Linked DNA regions of Macaca mulatta. The protein of the gene in region 1 purifies or fractionates together with the protein of each later gene. This does not show direct contact. Links are inferred from orthologs where the notes say so. Each region holds a gene or a part of one and is shown in the gene's direction. Other genes may lie near its edges.

Region 1 (4,899 bases):
GAGGTCAGGAGTTCGAAACCAGCTTGGCCAACATGGCAAAACCCCGTCTCTACTAAAAGCACAAAAATTAGCTGGGCATGGTGGCGGGTGCCTGTAATCCCAGCTACTTGGGAGGCTGAGGCAGGAGAATTGCTTGAACCTGGAAGGCAGAAGCTGCAATGAGCCAAGGTCGTGCCACTGCACTCCAGCCTGGCGACAGAGCGAGACTGTGTCTCAAAAAAAAAAAAGTACGTTTGCCCTTAAATGAGAGAAACCACATATAACTGCCTCATTCTGATTGTTGAAATGTGTTAGAATTTGTTTTACAAAGTACTAAAAGAAATGCTCCATTAAGTTTTAACTTTTGGTTGCTCTGAGCACTCAGAGACTCAAGATGACATTGATATCAGGCAAACACAAATCTGTACATTTGTAGAGTTCATTTTTTCTGTTTATTTTGTAATTCATTTGGAAAATCATGAAGTGGCCTCTTGTTTAAAATGTCTATCTTTCTGTAATGATGAAAATTATATTAGTAGTTCAGTACTTTATGTTTACATACTTTAGAATTTACTAAGTGTTTTGTTTTTGTTTTTGTTTGAGACGGAGTCTCGCTCTGTCACCCAGGCTGGAGTGCAATGATGCGATCTCGGTTCACTACAGCCTCTGCCTCTGGGTTCAAGCAATTCTCCTGCCTCAGCCTCTTGAGTAGCTGGGATTACAGGCGTGCACCACCATGCCCGGCTAATTTTTGTATTTTTAGTAGAGATGGGGTTTCACCATGTTAGTCAGGCTGGTCTCAAACTCCTGATCTCGTGATCCGCCCACCTCAGCCTCCCAAAGTGCTGGGACTACAGGTGTGAGCCACCACACCAGCCTAAGTGTTGTTTTTAAAATGAAAATACTAGAATTAAATAAGCGGGGTTTAAAAAATTATATTGAATAGGGAAGAACTTTCCAAATATAAAATCCAAGAATCCTTTAAAAATAAGTTCAACTACATGAAAATAAGTGATTTGTATATTGCAAAAAAAAAAAAAAAAAAAAACAACCCTCCGTAAACTATTTCAAAAAACACACAAGAACCAGGAAAAATTATTTTCAATCATATAGCTGACAGAGAGCTAATTTCTTAATATAAAGGTGATGAGCTAAGAAAAAATAGTTTTTATGTATCACTTATGCTACTAAATGTACATTCAAAGTTCAGTGAGATACCAATTTTCACCTATCACATGGGCAAAAATCAAGAAGTTTGGTAACACTCTTCACAAAGACAGGAGAAAATAAGTACTTTTGCATGCTGCTGGTAGAACTGGAAATGGAGTGTAACCATTATAGAAAGTAATTTGGATGCTACTATCAAAATTTAAAATGTCCATAATCTTAACAATTATATTTTCACAGGTAAGAAATGGCATATATTCTAGGACATTCACTGTAGCATTGTTGGTATTAATAATAGTAAAATTTTGGAAACACTAAATGTCCTCCAAGATGAGATAAGCTAAATAAATTATGGTATATCCTCAAGTAGAAAACTATGCAGCTGTTAAGAATGAAGCCAGATATATATATACACATATATATATATGTGTGTATATATATATGGTCCAGCCAGGCATGAGCATGGTGGCTCTCTCTACTAAAAATACAAAAACTTAGCTGGGCGTGGTGGCAAGTGCCTGTAATCCCAGCTACTCTGGAGGCTAAGGCAGGAAAATTGCTTGAACCCAGAAGGCAGAGGTTGCAGTGAGCCAAGGTCGCACTATTGCAATCCAGCCTGGGCAACAAGAGTGAGACTCCATCTCAAGCGAAAAAACAATAATAATAATGGAGCTCCTAGAACAGTCTTAACACATAGTAAGCATGCAATATATATTTGATGAATGAGTTTTTAAGTAACAAAAGCAAGGTCTAATATATTATGTATAGAATGCTATCATTTGTATTAAAAAAGAATGTATACATGTGTACATGTATGCATAGAGCACAATGGGGAATATGTACCAAAAATTGGCAAGTTAGCAGAAGATTTAGGTGGGTGGTAGATGAGGACAAATCACAGGCACAAACAAAAGGGAGGGAAATAATTTTATGTGGTACCTTCTGAGTGTTGTAACATATGCATTTTTAAACTTTTTGAATAATTAGTAATTAATATAAAACATTGTATTTACAGGGATGAAAGTGAACCTGCCCAAATAGAAGATTCAAGTGCTGTTAAACCTGCTGGCTGGCTTGATGATGAACCAAAATTTATCCCTGATCCTAATGCTGAAAAACCTGATGACTGGTAATTACTTTTCATCTTTAAATGTCGATTTTAAATGTTTCTTACGTGCATTTTTGTTACTAGTTTATATGACTGATCTGAGACTTGAGGTTACTATATTTGCTTTAATATCCTAAGGAATGAAGACATGGATGGAGAATGGGAGGCACCTCAGATTCTTAATCCAGCATGTCGGATTGGGTGTGGTGAGTGGAAACCTCCCATGATAGATAACCCAAAATACAAAGGAGTATGGAGACCTCCACTGGTCGATAATCCTAACTACCAGGTAACAACCGCTTGTTCCAATTCTTTAGTGAAGTTAAAAAGGTTGTGATCTTTTCTGTTTAAATATCTAATTATCTATGTTAACTTTTGGAAGTTTCATTTTTAAGATGTCAGAGAAAATAGACCCCAACTAATTTATATTTTAAAAGTAGAGCATCAGTTATTTAATTTTCTGGGGAAATAAATCACTTCATACTATATTCTTCCTGAATTATCAGTTGATGTTCACTTTGAAATAAACTTCTATTTTAGAAGTAAATATAAGAAGTAAATTCTGATCAAATAGACACACATTGTACATTTTAGTAATTAATGCCTGTGCTTAATTAATGTACTTATTCTTTAGTATTATTAAAATTCTGATTTTTGGCCGGGCACGGTGGCTCACGCCTGTAATCCCAGCACTTTGGGAGTCTGAGGCGGGCAGATCATGAGGTCAGGAGATGGAGACCACCCTGGCCAATATGATGAAACCCCGTCTCCACTAAAAATACAAAAAATTAGCCGGGCGTGGTGGTGCACACCTGTAGTCCCAGCTACTCGCGAGGCTGAGGCAGGGGAATCTCTTGAACCCTGGAGGTGGAGATTGCAGTGAGCTGAGATCGCGCCACTGCAGTCCAGCCTGGCAACAGAGCAAGACTCAGAAAAAAAAAAAAAAAAAAGAAAAGAAAAAGAAGAAAACAAAAAACCCTGGTGCGATCTTGGCTCACTGCAACCTCTGCCTCCTGGGCTCAAGTGATTCTCCTGCTTCAGCCTCCCAAGTAGCTGAGATTACAGGTGCGCCCCAGCACACCTGGCTAATTTTTGTATTTTTAGTGGAGACAGGATTTCACCATGTCGGCCAGGCTGGTCTCGAACTCCTGACCTCGTGATCTGCCCACCTCGGCCTCCCAAAGTGCTGGGGTTAGAGAAGTAAGCCACCGAGCCCGGCCCTGATTTTATTCTGATATCAATCAGACATCTTTTGAGTGTACCTAGCTTTTTATATTAAAAGTTTTTATGTTATCCACTTAACCCTCTAGTTTTATCTTTGTAATTATTTATGGACACGTTCTAACATTATATATATACAGTTTCATATTCTAATTACTCACTGTAGTTTTTATTAAAAGCATTTAACACAAAATATTTCTTTTGGTAAATATTGTTTAATGTCTGTCTCTTTTATTCTACTTTAAACTCCCTAATACAAGAACCATGTATGTCTCCATCATCTGGCATAGTGCCTGGTCCAGAATACATACATGTGATGGCGGAGTGACTCAATGAGCAATAATGTTGTTGAATGTATTTGATTTAATTGACAGTTTAATCATTTAAGATCTAATGGAAGTTTTATGTTGAGTAGTTGTGCTGAGAGTCAACCATACCTGATTAATGATATCTGTCATGGGTATATGTTAAATGGAGTAACTCCATTTTTGCTATACAATAATCTTTCTGATTTGGACAACTTGAGTAACATTTTGCAATGAATTTTACTAAATCTAAAAATTTGTCTAAAATAGACAAATTGTGAAATTTATTCACGTTTCTGTTTATGTTGGATTTTCCCTTTTCCTTTTTTTGCAGAATTTAAAATCATTATCCCTCATAGGAAACATCGGGTACACAGCAAAAAGAAACAATATTTTATTTCCAGTATGTTACTAATGAATTAATATCAGTTAAAGTTTTCTTTTTTCCAGTTAGCATTGTGAATTTCATTCAACAGCAGCTATTTATTAAGCAGCATTTATAATGAAGTTATTTTATTTGAAAATGTCTTCAATTACTTTTTCTTCCAGGGAATCTGGAGTCCTCGAAAAATTCCTAATCCAGATTATTTCGAAGATGATCATCCATTTCTTCTGACTTCTTTTAGTGCTCTTGGTTTAGAGCTTTGGTCTATGACCTCTGATATCTACTTTGATAATTTTATTATCTGTTCGGAAAAGGAAGTAGCAGATCACTGGGCTGCAGATGGTTGGAGATGGAAAATAATGATAGCAAATGCTAATGAGGTATGGTGTTGACCAATAACAGTAGTGATATAACTATGAATAATGATAATAAGATTTGGTCTTGGTTGTAGGTTATTCAAATGGCTCTTTTAAAGGCAAATAAATGTGCAATAATTACTAAATGCCAAGGAAATGTGTTTGAATAAGTTTATGCAGACAAAATATTTTGCTTTTTATGTTACTTCATTATGAACTACATATGCATATGTAAGTCCTCATTTTATTCATTGAATTATAATATCTCTAATGGGATTTAATGCTTATTTACTGTTTATAGAAGAAGATTACTTAATATCTTTGTCATCTTGCCAATTCAAGACCTAAGTGATAATGATAATCTAAATATTACTGTTT
Region 2 (4,899 bases), on another chromosome or scaffold:
TGCTAAAGCGGGTCAACTAGTCCGTGAACTTGCTGTTGGCTGAAACCAAGCCAGCAATGGGAGCAGGCTGCAGAAAGAACAGTTTTAAGGGATGCTGATCTATTTTGTATGATTAGGAGAGAGGCCATAAATCTGTTGGCTTTGCCCTTCACCCTCAGATGTCCCTGACTGGGCAGTGTATGCAGAACGCCCCCGTGGCATTTCTTCACAATTTTGATGTTAAATGCGTTACTGATTTGGAAGTATACCAAGAACGAGATGGTATTATCAATGCGAAGATAAAGAATGTTGCCTTAGGAGGTATGTGACATTTCTTTGAGAAAAGAACGCAGACCCAAACATGAAGATAAAGTGCGATCTCATGAGAGTATAAATCATTTCTACTGGTTCAACTTCAAATAATATTTTAACTGCCAATTATTTTCTTTGGACAAAGTTTAGTTCCATAAGACAGCATATTGCATATTAATTATTTTGAAATTGAAGTACAATTCAAATAACATAAAATTAACCTTTTTGTTTGTTTGTTTTGAAACGGAGTCTCGCTCCATTGCGCAGGTTGGAGTGCAGTGGCGCGATCTCAGCTCACTGCACCCTCTGCCTCCTAAGTTCAAGCGATTCTCCTGCCTCAGCTTCCCAAGTAGCAGGGTCTACAGGTGCACGCCACCACGCCCAGCTAATTTTTTTGTTTTTAGTAGAGATGGGGTTTCACCATGTTGGCTAGGCTGGCCTTGAACTCCTGACCTCAGGTGATCCGCCTGCCTCGGCCTCCCAAAGTGCTGAGATTACAGGTGTGAGCGTCTGCGTTCTGCCAAAATTAACCATTTTAAAGTGTACAATTCATTGACGTTAGTACCTTCTACACTGTTGTGCCACCATCACCTCTCTCTAGTTCCAGAACATTTCATCCCCTCAGAAGGGCATCTGTCCCCATTCGCAGTCACTCCCTACCCCTCCTCCCTCAGCCCCTGGCAGCCACCAGTCTGCTTCCTGTCTCCATGGATTGCTTATTCTGGGTGTTCCCCAGAAACAGAAGCATACACTGTGTGGCCTTTTGTCTCTGGCCTCTTTCACTTAGCATGGTGTTCCATGGTTCATCTGTGTTGTAGCGCATGGCAGCGCTTCATTCCTCTATGGCTGAATCGTAGTCTGTCGCATGGACAGAGCACATTGTATTTGTCCATTGTCCATTCATCAGCTGATGGACATATGGGTTGTTTTCATCTCTTGACTGTTGTGAATAGCGCTGCCATGAACACTCATGGCCAAGTTTTTGCGTAGATGTATCTTTTTATTTCTTTTGGGTAGACACCTAGGAGTGGAACTGACAGGTCATGCTAGTATGACTTCTTGAGGATCCACCAAATTGTGTTTTTTGTTTTTATTTTTGTTTTTTGAGACAGTGTCTCGCTCTGTCACCCAGGCTGGAGTGCAGTGGCATGATCTCGGCTCACTGCAACCTCTACCTCCCTGGTTCAAGCGATTCCCCTGCCTTAGCCTCCCAAGTAGCTGAGATTACAGGTGTGTGCCACCACACCTGGCTAATTTTTTTGTATTTTTAATAGTGACGAGGTTTCACCATGTTGGCCAGACTGGTCTCGAACTCCTGACCTCAGGCAATCTACCCGCCTCGGCCTCCCAAAGTGCTGGGATTACAGGCGTGAGCCACCGTACCCGGCCAATTGTTTTCTACAGTGTCTGCACCATTTTGTATTGCCACCAGCAGTGAACTGCATATTTGTTTTTATGTCAGTGACCCTGGTTTTTGTTTGTTTGTTTGTTTGTTGTGGATTTTCCTCCTCAGTTATAATTAGACACTAAGAGGACGGGGACTCCTATCTGATGGTTTTTGGGGAGTGGGGAGAGTTTTGTAGTCACCACTCTGGGCAGTTGTGGTCACCATATTTGCTTGATCAACTATACTTTGACTTAGTGTGATCATGATAGGCCATGTGTACGCCTGTGGAAGTTATTTTATGTTCTCTCTTTAGGCACAGTTACACCAAAAGTAATCTATGAGGAAGCAACTGACCTAGACAAATTCATCACCAATAGAGGTATTTAATGTTACACTTTGACGTCATTTCTTCAGAAATAGATATGTCATTTCTTACAAGTAACATATACCCCCAGAGTATGTATTTTTGTTAGTCATTTAAAAAGGTTCACAATCGTTAGAAAAATCTGCCAGGCGCATTTCATTTGTTCCTCGTTCTGTCTTGCTGGGCTTTAGAGTGCTCTCTGTGACGGTAAGCCTGCTCCTCCACGGTCCTGGATTCTCTGAGTTCCACCGTCCCTTCTAGTTCCAGCTTCCATGAAACTTTCCTTAAATGTTTGATAGTTAAAGAATTCTTTTTTTTTGTTGTTTGTTTTTTTTTGAGACGGAGTTTCGTTCTTTTCGCCCAGGCTGGAGTGCGATGGCGCGATCTTGGCTCACTGCAACCTCCACCTTCTGGGTTCAAGCAATTCTCCTGCCTTAGCCTCCCAAGTAGCTGGGATTACAGGTGCCTGCCACCATATGCCCGGCTAATTTTTGTATTTTAGTAGAGACGGGGTTTCACCATGTTGGCCAGGCTGGTTTCAAACTCCTGACCTCAAGTGATCCACCTGCCTTGGTCTCCCAAAGTGCAGGGATTACAGGCGTGAGCCACCGTGCCTGGCCCAGTTTGGCTAATTTTACCAGAACTTTAATTTTTAATGAAGGATACTATTTCTTTCTTTCTTTTCTTTTTTTTTTTTTAATTTGAGACAGAGTCTTGTTCTGTCGCCCAGTGCAGTAGGGTGATCTCAGCTCACTGTAACCTCTGCCTCCCGGGTTCAAGTGATTCTCATGCCTTAGCCTCCTGAGTAGCTGGGATTACAGGCACCTGCCACCATGCATGGCTAATTTTTTGTATTTTTAGTAGAGAGGAGGTTTCACTCTGTTGGCCAGGCTGGTCTTGAACTCCTGACCTCGTGATCTGCTTGCTTCGGCCTCCCAAAGTGCTGTGATTACAGGCGTGAGCCACCGTGCGTGGCCTAATTTTTGTATTTTTAGTAGAGATCGGGTTTCACCACGTTGGCCAGGCTGGTCTCAAACTCCTGACCTCAGGTGATCCACCCGCCTCGGCCTCCCCAAGTGCTGGGTGTCTCTTTCTGATGTGTTGTACTTCTCAAATTTATTCATTAGCTCATCAAATGTTAGTGGAGTTCCTACGCTGTAATAGAGAACTAGACAGCGGGCCCCTGCCCTGGCGGAACTGACCCTCTGGTCTTTCATCTCACAAACATTTTACCAAGTGTGTGCTCCATGGCAAGCTATGAGCCAGGTGCTGGGGATATAGAAATGAAAGGAACAGATCTCATTCTGGGTACCATGACGGCATAGGGGAGGCAGCTAATGGTGACTTGATGGGACCAGGGCAGGCTTCCTCAAGGAAGCAGTGACCATGCCATGTTAGGGAGCTGGAGATAGGAAGGGCAGGGGCGGGGCAGGGCATTCGGGAAAGGCCACGCAAGCAGAGAGAACGTCCCAGTAATAGAGTCAGGCTCAAAGACGGTCTTTAATTTATGAACATATTCTTGTATTTGCAGAAACTCCTTTAAATAACAGATCAGCCCCCAGAATCGTGAATGTGGAAGAACATTATATTTTCAAATGGAATAATAATACCATCAGTGATATCAATGTCAGAATTATTAGGGCAGAGATTAATGCCCACCAGAAAGGTAACTTTAATGAGGGTAGCAAACATGCTTTCACTGAAAAGTATTTTTTTTTCTCTCTTCAAGATTCTCATAATTATAACCCATAAAATTAAGTTAGACTTGTTTCTTATGTGCAAGACTTGTTTCTTGTTTCTTTATGATTTAATCAACGAGAGTATACTTTGAATGTCAAAATGCAATTTTAAGATAAAGCACTATGGAAAATAATTTCTTTTCCTAGTGAAATGGTGCACATTATATTTTTATTTTGTTTTATTTCTAGGGATAATGACACAGAGATTTGTAGTAAAATTTTTAAGCTATAATAGTGGTAATGAAGAAGAATTATCTGGAAATCCAGGTAAGATGAGTGTATACCAGTCACTGATCTTACAAACGTACTTTAGTTCAACACTCCCAGCCATCAGGATGGTTATAAGTAACTCTCTCCAATTTTAGTTTCTGACTCTGACCTTCCTTTTTCTTTATTCTCTCTCTCTCTCTCTTTTTTTTTTTTTTTTGGAGACAGAGTCTTGCTCTGTTGTCCAGGTTGAAGTGCAGTGGCACAATCTCGGCTCACTGCAATCTCCACCTCCTGGGTTCAAGAGATTTTCTTGCCTCGGCCTCCTGAGTAGCTGGGATTACAGGTACACACCACCATGCCTGGCAAATTTTTTTTTAAAATCACACAACACAGGAAGGTTTATTCATCTGCTACTTCTCCAAAGGGAGGCTTGCAGGGTTGCTCACTTTAATATAATTTTTATATTTTTAGTAGAGACAGGATTTCACCGTGTTGGCCAGGCTGGTCTTGAACTCCTGACCTCAAGTGATCTGCCCATCTCGGCCTCCCAAAGTGCAGAGATTACAGGCTTGAGCCACTGCGTCCAGCCAAGATACACTTATTATGTATACACAAGCATTCCAAAATCTGAAAAAATCCCAAACACTTCTGGTCTCAAGCATTTCGGATAAGAAATGCTCAACACCTGTATGATACAGTTAAGACAAATATGGCTAAATGTTAACAGCTGTTGATTTTGGTGTGGCTGTATTGGTGTTCATGGTATTACTTTCAACTTTTCTGTACATGTGAACATTTTCATAGTAAAATATTGGAAGCAGTAAGTTGGATTAATACGAGATGGATGGAAATATGTTCTAACAACAGACCTTGGGGTTGAATGGATTTACTAGAAAAAGGTTCTATTG
Region 3 (5,453 bases), on another chromosome or scaffold:
TATAGAGATAATAGGCTGAAAAGTTGTGAAGTTCAAGTAAGATAATGTTTATGACAATTTTTTGAAAATTGCCTGGTTGCAGCTTTTACTTACAGCATTTGCAAACAGTTCTGCCAACTCTGTGGCTCTTTCACCATATTTCAAGTGCTCAGCAAACGATGGTGTTCGTCTCCATAAAGTCAAGTTTAAAAATACAAGGGCCAGGCGCGGTGGCTCACGCTTGTAATCCCAGCACTTGGAGAGGCCTAGGCGGGCGGATCACGAAGTCAGGAGACTAGACCATCCTGGTTAACACGGTGAAACCCGTCTCTACTAAAAATACAAAAAATTAGCCGGGCGCGGTGGCGGGCGCCTGTAGTCCCAGCTACTCAGGAGGCTGAGGCAGGAGAATGGCGTGAACCCGGGAGGCGGAGCTTGCAGTGAACCGAGATCGCGCCACTGCACTCCAGCCTGGGGAACAGAGGGAGACTCCATCTCAAAAAAAAAAAAAAAAGAAAAAGAAAAACAACAACAAAAAACCAAACAAACAAATAAAGTACATAAATAAAAACCAAGTGACTGGAGGACGCCATTGATTGATTTTACTTAGGGCTTTGGGCATAAACTAGGTTTAAAAATTTCTGCTGCTGAGAAAGTAGGAAAACAGTTATATTCCCTTACATTTTACCGAAGAGAAACTAGACCTGCAGAGGAGTACCTTTCTGTTTCTATATAAACAGAGGCATTTTGCACAACCCAAATCACGCAGAAACCTCCTGGTAAGGACTTCACGGGTAGTTATTGCCGGCATTGTATTCTGAGAGATGAGCTTCATATCACTTCTGGAAATGCCTTAAATTAAAACTCATCTTGAAACAACATGACGTCTCAACGAGGCTGCCTTCTCACCTTGGAACATCAGGTTTTAAAATAAAGGTGTCATCAGAAGTGTGGAGACACCCACTGCATCACAACTGGAATCAATCTCTGGTTATGCTAACCTAGGTCTGCCGAGCAGGGTAAGTCTACTGCTCGAAAGCGGCACAGAGGAAATCCTCCCACCCCTGGGTTCAGGCCCGGAGTTACGAGCGGAGATTCCCGGCGGCGTGCCAGAGCCCAGAGCAAACCCGGCTGGGGAACGCACCTCGCCCGCGGCTCCGGAAGCGGCTGCGGCCCCGACCGGAAAGCCCCCAGCATCGCCCGCAGGAATAGCTGCGAGCCTGCGGCTCCAGCCCGGCCTCGGGTACCACGCGCCTAGTGGGAAGCGGCACTGACGCCTGCAGCATCTCGCGAGATTTCCGGCTCAGCCCAAGTACTGCGAGTTCATCAAAGAGGAGGAAAAAAAAAAAAAAAAGCCAGCGGGCGAGAGCCTCTGAAGTCGTGGCTGGGGCGCTGGGGTGGCAGCTTCCGCGGGAGCATCAGCTACCGGCGTGAGGCAAGGCAGGGCCAGCGCGCCGTTCGCAGCCCCGTTGCCTGGGCTGCCGGTTCACTGACGCGCGGCCCCCGGGTGGAGAGAGGGGAGGCGGCCTGGGAGCCCGCTCCTTTTCGCCGCAGAGCGCGGCGGGGGAGGGAGGTGAAGGCGTGGGAGGAGGGCGACGGAAGAGGAGGTAGCGGCGTGGAGATCCTCCCGGCGACATCACCGAGGCGGAGGGCGGCCGCGCCTGCTCCCAGATCGCGCCGTTCGTGCTGCCCGCACTGCCCGAGGCCCGGCGCGGGCTGGCTGGCCGCGATCCTGGCACCGGCCGCTTTCGCGTGGGGTCGCGCAGGAGCAGCGGAGGGCCGGATCGCTGAGTGAGCGTCAGCCGCGCGCCGCTGCGGGACCGTGGGTGGGCGGGCTGAGAGGCGGAGGAGCCTCCGGCCCCGCCTCCCGCGTGCTGCTGCCGGAGCCGCAGCAGCCACAGCCCCGCCGAGGCTTTAAACAGCGGGGCCCGCCCCGCGCCCGCCACACTCGCGCGCTCGCTTGGCTGCCAGTGGCGTCTGTGCCGTCCCAGCTAGAGGCGGCCAGCGGGCGGCGGGGAGAAAGACTTCCTCACCTGGTCTTGCGGCCGTGGCCACCGCCGGCCAGGGGTGCGGAGGGCGTGCTGCCGGAGACGTCCGCCGGGCTCTGCAGTTCCGCCGGGGGTCGGGCAGCGATGGAGCCGGTGCCCACGGCGCCCTCCTCCGGCGCCCCGGGACTGGCCGGGGTCGGGGAGACGCCGCCAGCCGCTGCGCTGGCCGCCGCCAGGGTGGAACTGCCCGGCACGGCTGTGCCCTCGGTGCCGGAGGATGCTGCGCCCGCGAGTCGGGACGGCGGCGGGGTCCGCGGGGAGGGCGCTGCGGCGGCCGGGGACGGGCTGGGCAGACCCTTGGGGCCCACCCCGAGCCAGAGCCGTTTCCAGGTGGACTTGGTTTCCGAGAACGCCGGGCGGGCCGCTGCTGCTGCGGCGGCGGCGGCGGCAGCGGCGGCGGCTGGTGCTGGGGCGGGGGCCAAGCAGACCCCTGCGGACGGGGAAGGCGGCGGCGAGAGCGGGCCGGCTAAAGGCAGCGAGGAAGCCAAGGGCCGCTTCCGCGTGAACTTCGTGGACCCGGCTGCCTCCTCGTCGGCTGAAGACAGCCTGTCGGATGCTGCCGGGGTCGGTGGCGACGGGCCCAACGTGAGCTTCCAGAACGGCGGGGACACGGTGCTGAGCGAGGGCAGCAGCCTGCACTCCGGCGGCGGCGGCAGTGGGCACCACCAGCACTACTATTATGATACCCACACCAACACCTACTACCTGCGCACCTTCGGCCACAACACCATGGACGCTGTGCCCAGGATCGATCACTACCGGCACACAGCCGCGCAGCTGGGCGAGAAGCTGCTCCGGCCTAGCCTGGCGGAGCTCCATGACGAGCTGGAAAAGGTGAGCTCGCCCGGCCCTCCCTTCTTCCCCAGCCCCTGGTGCATGCCGACCGCGGGATGTGGCTGCAGACTCTTCCCGAGTTGAGGTGGCAGGAGTAGACATGCACGACTTGCTGGCATCTCTGGATTCAGCTGTCAAGGGTGGAATTGCAGAGGAATGTAACTTAATCTCTTAAAAAGTTTGTAGCGGGTTTGGCTAGTTAAGTGATACTGGAGGGCTGCTTTTAACAACCTTCCCCATCCAGTTAGGTATCTCGTGTGCACTTTGTTTCCCACCCACGCTTAACAGTCACCACCCCTCTGAATGACAGTTGTGTTTGTGGGCCCTTGAGAAGAGAAGGTGCAGGAGGTTTAGGTGAGGACCTCTCTCGGAAGAGGTTGGAGAGCACCTACCATCTGTGTCGTTTTAAAAGATTGTGTTGTGTGGCTTATGTACGCCTATTAGGGATCCCAACAGTGGGAATGTTGGTGTTGGAAGGAAAATCTTAACAGGGTGTGTTTGTGGTCTATGAGTTATTAAAGCTTAATTCTTGCAATCTTGAATATGCAAAGGATCATAGAAATCTTAAATCTTGGGACACTCTGTTCCTGATAATGGCATAACTCTTTTTTTTTTTTTTTTTTGCAATGAAAACGTTTTGGGAGAGGTGTATATTTAAAAAATTAGGGAGAGGGGCGAGTCTTTAAAGAAAAAAGGGAAACGGGAGAATTGGTTTTTCTGTAGAAGATGACCTGGAAGACCTCTGGGGTCTTTACAATAAGCAGTTACACTTTGTAAACAGAAAACCATCCCCATAAACTCATTGATTTTTGTAATTCTGTTTTTTTATGGTCACATAAGACTGTTATTTCTTCAGTGTTCAATATAATTGTTTTGAGATAACATTTATGCTTTTGAAATTTCATTAATGTTTAACTTTTTTATGAGCCGGAATTACTTGAAGTCTTCCTTTACAAGTGTGTAATGACTACATTGATGGAATTTTGTAAACGCCAGAGGATAGTACCACATAGGTTGAAATGATCATAGTGTGGAAAAGTTTAAATCCAGTATGTGATTTCTTTTGGATATGATTATTTGATCTCATACAGTGATTTCATACAAGACTGTACTTGTCCCAGTGTTTGATAATGTAACATTCACACAGAGGTAATTACAGAGGCCCCAACTCTTACAGCTTATTGATTGTTTAAAAGCCTGAGATCATTTGGCTTTAGATAATATTATTGTTCCATTGTGGTATTTTATCATAATCAGAAGCAAAACAATGTCTAAAACATTTTTTATTCATACTTCTGTAGTTTCTATCAAGTCTATTTTTTCTTTTCAAAACCCAAAAATCATTGTAGACAAAAGTAGATATGAAGCTAGCAATTTTCCTTTTCTTAGGACGTATTTACTAATGAAAATATTATACAGATATATTTTAGATTTATTTTACCAAAGCTAAGTAGGTGAGCAGTAAAGTGATCTGTATTTACCCATAAGTTTTAGAAAGACATCCAGTTGAAAGGTATGTATCTTGAGCATATATGCTTCCTATGGGAGTTTTTGGTATTTTGTATTAAATGATCTCAGTAACAAAGCACTTAAAGTTCTCCAAAGCTTTAGATTTGTGTGTCTTTGTGTTTTTCGCTTGGCTTTTTGGTTCAAAGTGTCTAAAAAACAACACCTGTATTGTTTGTTGTACGGCAGTTGAAGAAATCACCCAACCTCTCAGCTTCAGCTTTTCAGGGTTATTATGAAGATTAGAAAAAAAGTGCAATAAAAGTGACCATGTTCAGTGCCTGGAAAATAATAGCTAGTTGTTATTTCCCTCTTATATTGGCCCTTCAGAAGACTCTAGGATCTCAATTTTAGATTCTCTTAATTCTTATGTTATTAGATGAATATAGTATATAAAATGTTATGTTCAGTTTCATTTATGCAACAGGTAGTTTAATTCTTTATAGTTTTTTACCTTCTGCCACTCATAATCTTTATGGCCACTGTTTTCTTGGCTTAACTAATAACTACATGTTGAAGATAATTTTGGTTAGAATTTTAGCAGATGGATTAAAGAAATGGGTGTTAAGTAGTACAATTATGACTATACACCACTGTCGAAAGACGGGCAGACAGTAGGGGTGATAACAGGTTGGCTGGATTCCCAGAAGTTGTCCCTTACTCTGTCTAAATTGACTTCCACCTCTCTAACACCTCTAATGCTTCTAGCCTTCAGTGAATTATAATATTTAGAATTTTTATAACACCTAATTCTAGCAGTCGATTGATTGACATATACTCTACTTTGGTCTACTAAGTGCGTAATTATCTACCATGGGACTAACTCTGTGTTGGGAACTGTAGAAGAACAAAAGAAAGTAAAAGACTTCAGAAACTTGTTAGGGAAAAGGACTGGATTGTCTTTCCTCCAGTTGAATTCCTTTCATTATCCATCACTGACTTTAAAAGTATTTTATCTAGATGTCCAACTGTAGGGGAATAGATAAATATCCTTGGCACATCTTGCTATATTGTATAGCCATTCTAGGACCAGTAGGTATGAGTTCTCCATTTATTAAATAGTTATTGGGGAAGGTGGTATCTTAG
Region 4 (4,899 bases), on another chromosome or scaffold:
ATCAGGTGATTGACTGCTAACCTCAGTTGGCCTCTTACGTGAACATGAGGTGGAAAGGTTGCAATTCCCTTTGCCTGCGTTCCTGATTTCTACCTGATTGCCACCACTCTGCCACCTCATCCAGGAGGTTCAAGTCCAGTGGGGAAAAAGTAAAATAAAGTTTATCTTTTTTAATATCTTCATCCCTGTGAAATAAAATGCTTCTCATTTCTCTATTCACTGAGACATATTGTTTATTTAAAGTAGTGATAGTAGAATCAGGGTTAAAGATAATCATAATTACTTTATATAACCCTATGAATAAAAGTAATAATTCCTTTCTCTCCGTTTGGAAATGTAGTTATTCAGAACAGCATGTAGACAAAAAAAAAAAAAAAAAAAAAAATCCTTGACATCCCATTTCTGCAGGCATTTCAGATCCTATTAGAAACTAGGCTAACTCCCCAGTCATTTTGTCTCTCAGCTTTGCTTTCTTTTATGAAAGTAAATGCAAACGAATACAGCCTTTTTACTTAATTCTTTCTAAATAACATAATTTTCTCCTTTATTTTACCTAACAGGTCTATATCGTCCCCCGGGCTGCCATCTTTCGCAGTGATGATGCACTCAAGGAATCAGCAGCCATGCTAAATAACATGCGTGTCTATGGCACAGCTTTCTTGGTCCTTATGGTATTAGTGGTATTTATCGGCGTACGCTATGTGAACAAGTTTGCCTCACTTTTCCTGGCCTGTGTCATTGTGTCCATCTTGGCCATCTATGCTGGAGCCATCAAGTCTTCTTTTGCCCCTCCACACTTCCCGTACGTGTCTGTCTCTCTGCCTAGCCATCTTTGTTGGGTAGTAATTGAAAATATCTGGTGGTGTGATAATTTTAAGTCAGAATTTCATGGAGTCTCTCCGAGATTTTCCCTCTTGGATAAGCCCATTTAGAGTTCCTTCCCCATCTAGGCAGGAAGCCTCCCAGCAAACTATGTCCTGTTCATCCTCTTTCTTATGTCCCAAACATAGAACTAGTAACTGTAACCATAATTTATGTTCAGATATTAGATTTTTTTCTCCCTGATAATTGTACATAATCTTTTTTTAATTATACATATTTTGAACTATTCATAAAGGGCTTTGCAGACAGTGTAGTTATTGCCAGCAGCCTTTATAAGGTATTTAAATGTTGGATTTCTTTTACTAATGAAAAATCAGGGGAGTCAAAAGAAACCTAAAATCTTACCTAAAATGTTTAATTAATTAAATTTTTTTTTCTGTCAGTATTGTAATGGACTAGTCATAAAGGGAAATACTGTACAATTTGCATGCATCTCTCTATATATGTAATATTACATACTATAATACAGCTACTTTTTTCAACCTTGATTTTATTTTTTTTAATTTGTATAAACTTATGGGGGTACAGGTGTAATTTTGTTACATGCACATGTTGTGTATTGGTGAATTCAGGGCTTTTATTAAGAGTTGGAATCTCACTTTGTTGCCCAGGCTGGAGTGCAGTGGCATAATCTTGGCTCATTGCAACCTCAGCCTCCTGGGTTCAAGCAATTCTCCTGCCTCAGCTTCCCAATTAGCTGGAATTACAGGCATGTGCCACCACACCCAGTTCTTTTTTTTTTTTTTTTTTTTTTTTTTTGTGAGACAGTCTTGCTCTGTCACCCAGGCTGGAGTGCAGTGGTGCAATCTTGGCTCACACAACCTCTGCCTCCTGGGTTCAAGTGATTCTCCAGTCTCAGCCTCCCGAGTAGCTAGGACTACAAGCACACACCACCGTGTCCAGCTAATTTTTGAATTTTCGGTAGAGGTGAGGTTTCACCATGTTGGCCAGGCTGGTCCTGAACTCCTGATCTCAAGTGATCCGCCCACCTCGGCCTCCCAGAGTGCTGGGATTACAGGCGTGAGCCACTGCGCCCAGCCTAGGTCAGGGCTTTTATCCATTACCCAAATAATGTACTTTGTACCCATTAAGTACTCTCTCACCATTTACCTCCTCCTTCAACTCCCTAGTGCAAGTACTTTAAAGTATGTTTTTTGAAGTAGTAATGGATTTGTGCAGATCTGTGACTCACAGGCTCCCTTTTCCCTTTGACTAGTGGCATAGGGACTAGCTGGCACTGAGTGTTATTTGTAGTTTTGTTACAGAATTATCTTGAAGAGTCATCTGGATTATCTGAGGATCAAACTCATTGGTTCTATGTTGATTTAAACAGATTACAGAAAAAAAGATTTTTCAAGACAAAAAGACAGTTCCAATAGGTTTAATGACTTACCTCAAAGTTAATTAATGGCAGAGCAAGAAGATGAACTGTGATTTCCTGACTCCCCATTCAGTATTTCTTCTGTGCCACGCTACATGATGGCAGAAGAAGATTCCATCTTAAACTTTTAATCTGCTTATCTAGGGACTGTAATATAGCTGAAGGTCCTTTCTAGGGTCATACAATTTCTAAAGCTGACATTCTGGTTATATCTCAATTTGGGAAATTCCATTTTGTCTCAGGTTCACCTTTGGGACTTCTCCTCTTTTTTGATTAGTACACGGTCATAATGCATGGTATTTTCTTTGAGATATTCCAGCAAAACAAGACAAAAAATCTAGAATACATGAAACAAGACTGAGAAATGTTGAGAGTTGTTGAAGCTGAGTAATAGGTACATGGTTCATAATAATGTATTCAATCATTTTACAGATTTTAAAAGTCCCTTTGTTGGACCTGAGAGGTATTTTAACTATGGATGTATTATTCCTTTGTTTATATTTGTGTCTCTGGGTTAAAGAAAAAAATAAAACCAGCAGGTTAATATTTGTGTTATCCTTACCCTCACTCCCACTGGGTCTAGGCTTAAGTTCAAAAACAGTTTTCTCTTAGGCCATAGAGGGATCTGCCTTTTAATTCTGGCCAAGCTGTTTTCCTTGCAACAGTAGCCAGAAGATTCAACCTTTAGCATAACATTTTCAAGGGGTTTGTTAAGAATGTAAGGCTTTTCTAGGCCAAAAAAAGAGGAGTGCTTTTTTCTTTATAAGAACAACAAAAGAACTTCAGTATTCTTTTAGACCTAACAATTTTAGCCAAAAATTTTGGAAGATGAGTCAGCATAATGTCTTCAGACAGTTCTTCAATTTGAGTTCCTTCACTGCCACCTACCACCTATGACCTTGGACAGATAACTGTATTTCCCTAACCTTCAATTAACTCCCTAACTTCCTAAACTTCAGTGCTTCCATCCACAACATAGAAATTCTAATACATTGTGAGGTTGCTGTAAGGATTAAATTGGCAGAAAATGTAAGTCGCCATTCACAGTGCTAAAATAAATTATAAATAAATAAACATTAGTTCCCTTCCCACCCATGACAGTAGAAGCTCTTAAAGATGGGGTTCTTGTTTCCTTTACTAACCTGTTTCCTTTTTTTCTTTTGTAATGTGTTTTTTTCCCTTACTTGATCTTTCTCCCTATTTCTTTTCACTTAGGGTCTGCATGCTGGGTAACCGCACCCTTTCATCAAGACACATTGACGTTTGCTCTAAAACCAAGGAAAGTAACAACATGACAGTCCCATCAAAGTTATGGGGATTCTTCTGTAACTCGAGTCAATTTTTCAATGTCACCTGTGATGAATACTTTGTTCACAATAATGTCACTTCAATCCAGGGCATTCCTGGATTGGCTAGTGGTATCATTACAGGTAAGTTAGGGAGTTATTGGACAAGTTTTTTCCTATTTTCTGGGGAAAATAGGCCTTGTCATCTTAGATTCTTCTGCTGTCCATAAAGATTCACTGCCATGGTGCTAATTTCCTTAAGCATACCACACAGCTCTTAATTCAGCATATTTCTGCTTTTCCATTAGTAAAGCTGTCCTTATTCAGGACTCCTTTACAGAGTGATGTCTGCTAAAATTCACCTCCATTTCAGAGCAGAGTTGAGCAAATCACTTTCTAATCTTAGGATAAATTATTCTGTGCATTCTTGTAAAATTGCCAGTGTTCTTCCTGCACTGACAGAATAGAACTATTTTAATGTCCACATCCACATGTATCTTCCTAACTTAGCTAAATTCCTGAAACATTCCTTAAGTGGCTTCTATTATAAATGTTTGGTCTATAAATTTCTTTGCACATAAGTAAGTTTACATTAAGGTGTTAGAAACAGTGTTGATGACTAATAAATAATAATGGGATTTGTGGGGCATTTAGTTTTAGTCTGTTTAACTTTTACTAATTTGCATTAGTAAAGTTAAACTGTATTTGTATATACCAAATCATTTTGTCAAATTATATTTAAATTAGATAAGAAAGAACACTATGTTTGACTGGGCGCGGTGGCTCACGCCTGTAATCCCAGCACTTTGGGAGGCCAAGGCGGGTGGATTGCGAGGTCAAGAGATCAAGACCATCCTGGCCAACATGGTGAAACCCAGTCTCCACCAAAAATACAAAAATTAGCTGGGTATGATGGCGTGCACCTGTAGTCCCAGCTACTGCTACTCTGGAGGCTGAGGCAGGAGAATCTCTTGAACTGGGGAGATGGAGGTTGCAGTGAGCCGAGATTGTGCCACTGCACTCCAGCCTGGTGACAGAGCAAGACTGTCTCAAAAAAAAAAAAAAAAAGAGGCTGGGCAAGGTGGCTGACACCTGTAATCCCAGCACTTTGGGAGGCTGACGTGGGCGGATCACGAGGTCCGGAGATAGAGACCATCCTGGCTAACGTCGTGAAACCCCGTCTCTACTAAAAATAAAAAAAATTAGCGGGACGTGGTGGCGGGCGCCTGTAGTCCCAGCTACTCGGGAGGCAGGAGAATGGTGTGAACCCGGGAGGCGGAGCTTGCAGCGAGCCGAGATTGTGCCACTGCACTCCAGCAAGACTCTGTCTCAAAAAAAAAAAAAAAAAGA
Region 5 (3,907 bases), on another chromosome or scaffold:
CTGTGATTATTGATTTATATTGTTGATTTGTCAGTTTTTAAACCCCCTCTACCAAGAAACTTTTGTATTCATAATAAAAGTTTAAAAGTTAAAATTGGTTTTATTCTCAAGCAATTGGCCTCAGTGACAAAGAGTGACTAGAGAGTGCCCAAGTGTCAAATCAGGTATTTTGTATTAGTAGACTTATTCCTAGCTGCATTTAATTTTGGTGTTAGCACTCAATTTTATGTTTTCCTTTGTATAGGCCATAAAGTATAGCAGAATGTTTGCAAGACTCCACCCCCATAGAAAAGATACTCTTTTGGAGAGGAGGAGGCAGGAGAGTGGTTAGGAGGGTGAAGAATCCGTATCACAATTACTTAATTTAGCCCTGGCCATTATGTCCTGGCTGGTTCCCAGAATGTCAATTTATATTAAATTGCTCTGGGCATATTTTTTTAATTGTACTTTGTGAAAAAATTTTCACCTTCATCACCACTTAAAAAGAATTAGACGAGGATGTTTATATAAACACTTTAAATGTATTTGCTATAAAATTTTTATTTCTTTGTAGACCCAGAAAAACCCAGAAGTGGTGATACAGTGGAAGTACAAGTGAATGGAAATCTTATCAGAGAGCCTGACCATGTGGAACTGGAAGAAGATAGGGCTGGACAACTTAACATGCGTGGAGTTTTTCTGCATGTCCTTGGAGATGCCTTGGGTTCAGTGATTGTAGTAGTAAATGCTTTAGTCTTTTACTTTTCTTGGAAAGGTTGTTCTGAAGGGGATTTTTGTGTGAACCCGTGTTTCCCTGACCCCTGCAAAGCATTTGTAGAAATAATTAATAGTACTCATGCATCAGTTTATGAGGCTGGTCCTTGCTGGGTGCTATATTTAGATCCAACTCTTTGTGTTGTAATGGTTTGTATACTTCTTTACACAACCTATCCATTACTTAAGGAATCTGCTCTGATTCTTCTACAAACTGTTCCTAAACAAATTGATATCAGAAATTTGATAAAAGAACTTCGAAATGTTGAAGGAGTTGAGGAAGTTCATGAATTACATGTTTGGCAGCTTGCTGGAAGCAGAATCATTGCCACTGCTCACATAAAATGTGAAGATCCAACATCATACATGGAGGTGGCTAAAACCATTAAAGACGTTTTTCATAATCACGGAATTCATGCTACTACCATTCAGCCTGAATTTGCTAGTGTAGGCTCTAAATCAAGTGTAGTCCCGTGTGAACTTGCCTGCAGAACTCAGTGTGCTTTGAAGCAATGTTGTGGGACACTACCACAAGCCCATTCTGGAAAGGATGCAGAAAAGACCCCAACAGTTAGCATTTCTTGTTTAGAACTTAGTAACAATCTAGAGAAGAAACCCAGGAGGACTAAAGCCGAAAACATCCCTGCTGTTGTGATAGAGATTAAAAATATGCCAAACAAACAACCTGAATCATCTTTGTGAGTCTTGAAAAAGAGGTGATATTTGACTTTTGCTTTAAACTGCAAGAGGAAAAAGACTCCATTGAAATTCTAAGTTTGCCAAGTAGTATAATTGAAGTCCTTGTCTGGTCACACAGTTTAATTCTATTTTTGTAAGAACATAATGGGACTGCATAACAGAGTTCTATATTACAACTTTGTGATTATTAGTACAGAGTACAGCTATGCTGTGACTGTTTTGGAAAGCCAGTTTTAACACTATGTTACATTTTTGTTTAAAGTAAGTTAAACCTTATATAACATAATGACATTTGATTTCTGGATTTTTCCCATGATAAAAATTAGGGGGATAAATAAAATTGTTACTGGAATTTCTCTGCTTTTCTTTTCCCCCAGTGTTACACTTTCTTAGAATTATAACTGATAGAACTTTAAAATCATCAACAGTTTGTTTCCTTTGACATTTTAGGTAATATTGCCCTTTGAGATCATTACATAGCATAATGGCAGCATATTTTAAGAGTGACTCATGGCTATTAGTAGGAAATAAGATCAGTTACTATCCTGTATTCTGTATTGCTGACTATTAAACAGTAAGATAATTAACAAATTGAACTACAGTTTACACACAATAGGGCAAACAGGGTAGTAAGAGCAGGGAAGAAAGTTTACCAAACTAAATATTTAGGTTATTGTATGATAATATTGAGACTACATTTCTAAATTATTTTGAGAATTTCAACTTTTTATTCTACCAAAGTTAATCTGAAACTTGGACATGTTCACCAGCATTACTTTCTTTGAAAGATTGGTATAAAAACATTGAGCTGCAAGTTTACTCACAAAATATATAAGTATTTTTAAGGATGTTGACACCTAATAATTACATGCTAAATGCAAACTATTAATGTAATCTTTTAAACCGGGTGTTTGAAAAGAAATTTTCAAAGTCATCTCGTGATAACCAATCATGAATGGATTTAAATGGAGCTTTTTGAGCACAACCAGCAATGCTTGTGCTTTCTAAGAGCCACTGAATTGAGAGAAAAGAAAACCGGAAGGTTAATGCAGTTTGGATATTAAATTCTTAGAGAGCAAAATTAATAATTAAAGCAAAATTAATTAAGATTTTGTAAGTCATCCTGTCTTCACATACTCAGATCTTCCAATAGTGGCTTATTTTGCAAGATGCCACAATATCTACACAGAAAATTGTTTGTGGCTATTTCATTATTGCTATAGATTTCAAATCCAACACAAATATTATTTAAGGGTGTTTAAGTTATATTTTTCTTGATAGAGGGTATACTTTGTGACAAAATTAGATTTTTGTCCTTGAAAGGATGAATATTAGTATCAGTTATGTATAGCTCTATTTTTCTAGAAACAAGGTATTCTGACTACTTAACTTTTATAGCTGACTACTTTTGGGATGGCTATGTTTTGGGATTTAAAATAGTTCATTGTTTAATGGGTTGTAAGAGGGAAAAGTGTTAGGATTTGACAGTTAACTTTTTAAAGGGATGATCTTTTGTGGTGTGTGTTTTTCCTAGTATAAGCCTATTGCTGGCAATGGGCCTATTTAAGAACAGCTGATTTTTTCCAATGAAAATATGGTAATTTTAGGAACACAGTTTGTAAGTTCACATTTACTATAATGGGCCAAAACCATAACCTGCCAGTTTGCAATACATCTTGATCTTTTAATATTCTTATCTGATATTGTGTAATTCAATTCCTAAACTGATAGTTACCATGAATTTTGCGAAAAGGCTTGGGAGGTTTTTTTTTAAACGTGAAATTGAGGGATCTCATCTGGGCGAACGAGAAGAGAAAGCTGTGAATTGTATTGTATCATGTACATTCCTGATTTAATATTTTACAGAACATTTTATTCAGATATCAATTTGTTATATAAACATTTCAGCAATGATACAAAGATAACTGATAAAATATATTACATTCAATGAGGTTTTCTTTTACAAATGCTCTACTCGAGGTCTGTGTCTTAAAGATGGTATAACGCCTAAGTGTAAGACATCAACTGAATGAGGATTTTAAAAAATGGTATATAAGCATGAGACAAGGGCTATGTTTGTTTTTCAAAAGTGCTTTGAAGATAACAGCCTTTAGGTTTTAGTTATTTCACTTTTCATAATTTTTAAGTAGCTTATATATAACGGTGGTACCATAGGATTTTCTTTTTTCAAATGACTGTCAGCAAAAACAGTGGGCACTGACTCAACCTTCTGAGTTTTAGCGGAGAATTATTTATTTCTTTATAATGCACTTTCTAACCCATTTTAGCTATATTAGCATTATCTTTAAAAAAAAAAAAAGACATGCTTTTGTATTTAAATATTGTAGGATTTAAGTGTCTTTCTCAAAATAGCTTATTCCTTTCTGAAAGAAAATGAGAGAAGTACTCTGAATTATTAGGAGACTTAAACCCAATATTTAAATATGCTATTTTA

The links.
Region 2: the proteins of CLGN (region 1) and TCTN2 purify together in Homo sapiens (affinity purification with mass spectrometry; 3 studies listed by BioGRID and IntAct, with this or other methods). This does not show direct contact. The link is inferred for Macaca mulatta from reciprocal best matches to the Homo sapiens genes CLGN and TCTN2.
Region 3: the proteins of CLGN (region 1) and SLC12A2 purify together in Homo sapiens (co-immunoprecipitation; 3 studies listed by BioGRID and IntAct, with this or other methods). This does not show direct contact. The link is inferred for Macaca mulatta from reciprocal best matches to the Homo sapiens genes CLGN and SLC12A2.
Region 4: the proteins of CLGN (region 1) and SLC12A6 purify together in Homo sapiens (affinity purification with mass spectrometry; 3 studies listed by BioGRID and IntAct, with this or other methods). This does not show direct contact. The link is inferred for Macaca mulatta from reciprocal best matches to the Homo sapiens genes CLGN and SLC12A6.
Region 5: the proteins of CLGN (region 1) and SLC30A1 purify together in Homo sapiens (co-immunoprecipitation; 3 studies listed by BioGRID and IntAct, with this or other methods). This does not show direct contact. The link is inferred for Macaca mulatta from reciprocal best matches to the Homo sapiens genes CLGN and SLC30A1.

Annotation. Positions count from the first base shown.
Region 1 is NC_133410.1:149,272,028-149,276,926, reverse strand, and holds part of CLGN (calmegin), read left to right. Parts: intron 1-2,161; coding exon 2,162-2,275; intron 2,276-2,392; coding exon 2,393-2,543; intron 2,544-4,329; coding exon 4,330-4,545; intron 4,546-4,899. UniProt on the Homo sapiens protein: Functions during spermatogenesis as a chaperone for a range of client proteins that are important for sperm adhesion onto the egg zona pellucida and for subsequent penetration of the zona pellucida.
Region 2 is NC_133416.1:131,117,592-131,122,490, forward strand, and holds part of TCTN2 (tectonic-2), read left to right. Parts: intron 1-158; coding exon 159-300; intron 301-1,991; coding exon 1,992-2,057; intron 2,058-3,573; coding exon 3,574-3,708; intron 3,709-3,970; coding exon 3,971-4,048; intron 4,049-4,899.
Region 3 is NC_133411.1:137,044,216-137,049,668, forward strand, and holds the start of SLC12A2 (solute carrier family 12 member 2), read left to right. Parts: upstream 1-1,945; 5' UTR 1,946-2,111; coding exon 2,112-2,861; intron 2,862-5,453. UniProt on the Homo sapiens protein: Cation-chloride cotransporter which mediates the electroneutral transport of chloride, potassium and/or sodium ions across the membrane. Plays a vital role in the regulation of ionic balance and cell volume.
Region 4 is NC_133412.1:11,448,279-11,453,177, reverse strand, and holds part of SLC12A6 (solute carrier family 12 member 6), read left to right. Parts: intron 1-560; coding exon 561-802; intron 803-3,478; coding exon 3,479-3,693; intron 3,694-4,899.
Region 5 is NC_133406.1:69,311,066-69,314,972, reverse strand, and holds part of SLC30A1 (proton-coupled zinc antiporter SLC30A1), read left to right. Parts: intron 1-553; coding exon 554-1,455; 3' UTR 1,456-3,907. UniProt on the Homo sapiens protein: Zinc ion:proton antiporter that could function at the plasma membrane mediating zinc efflux from cells against its electrochemical gradient protecting them from intracellular zinc accumulation and toxicity.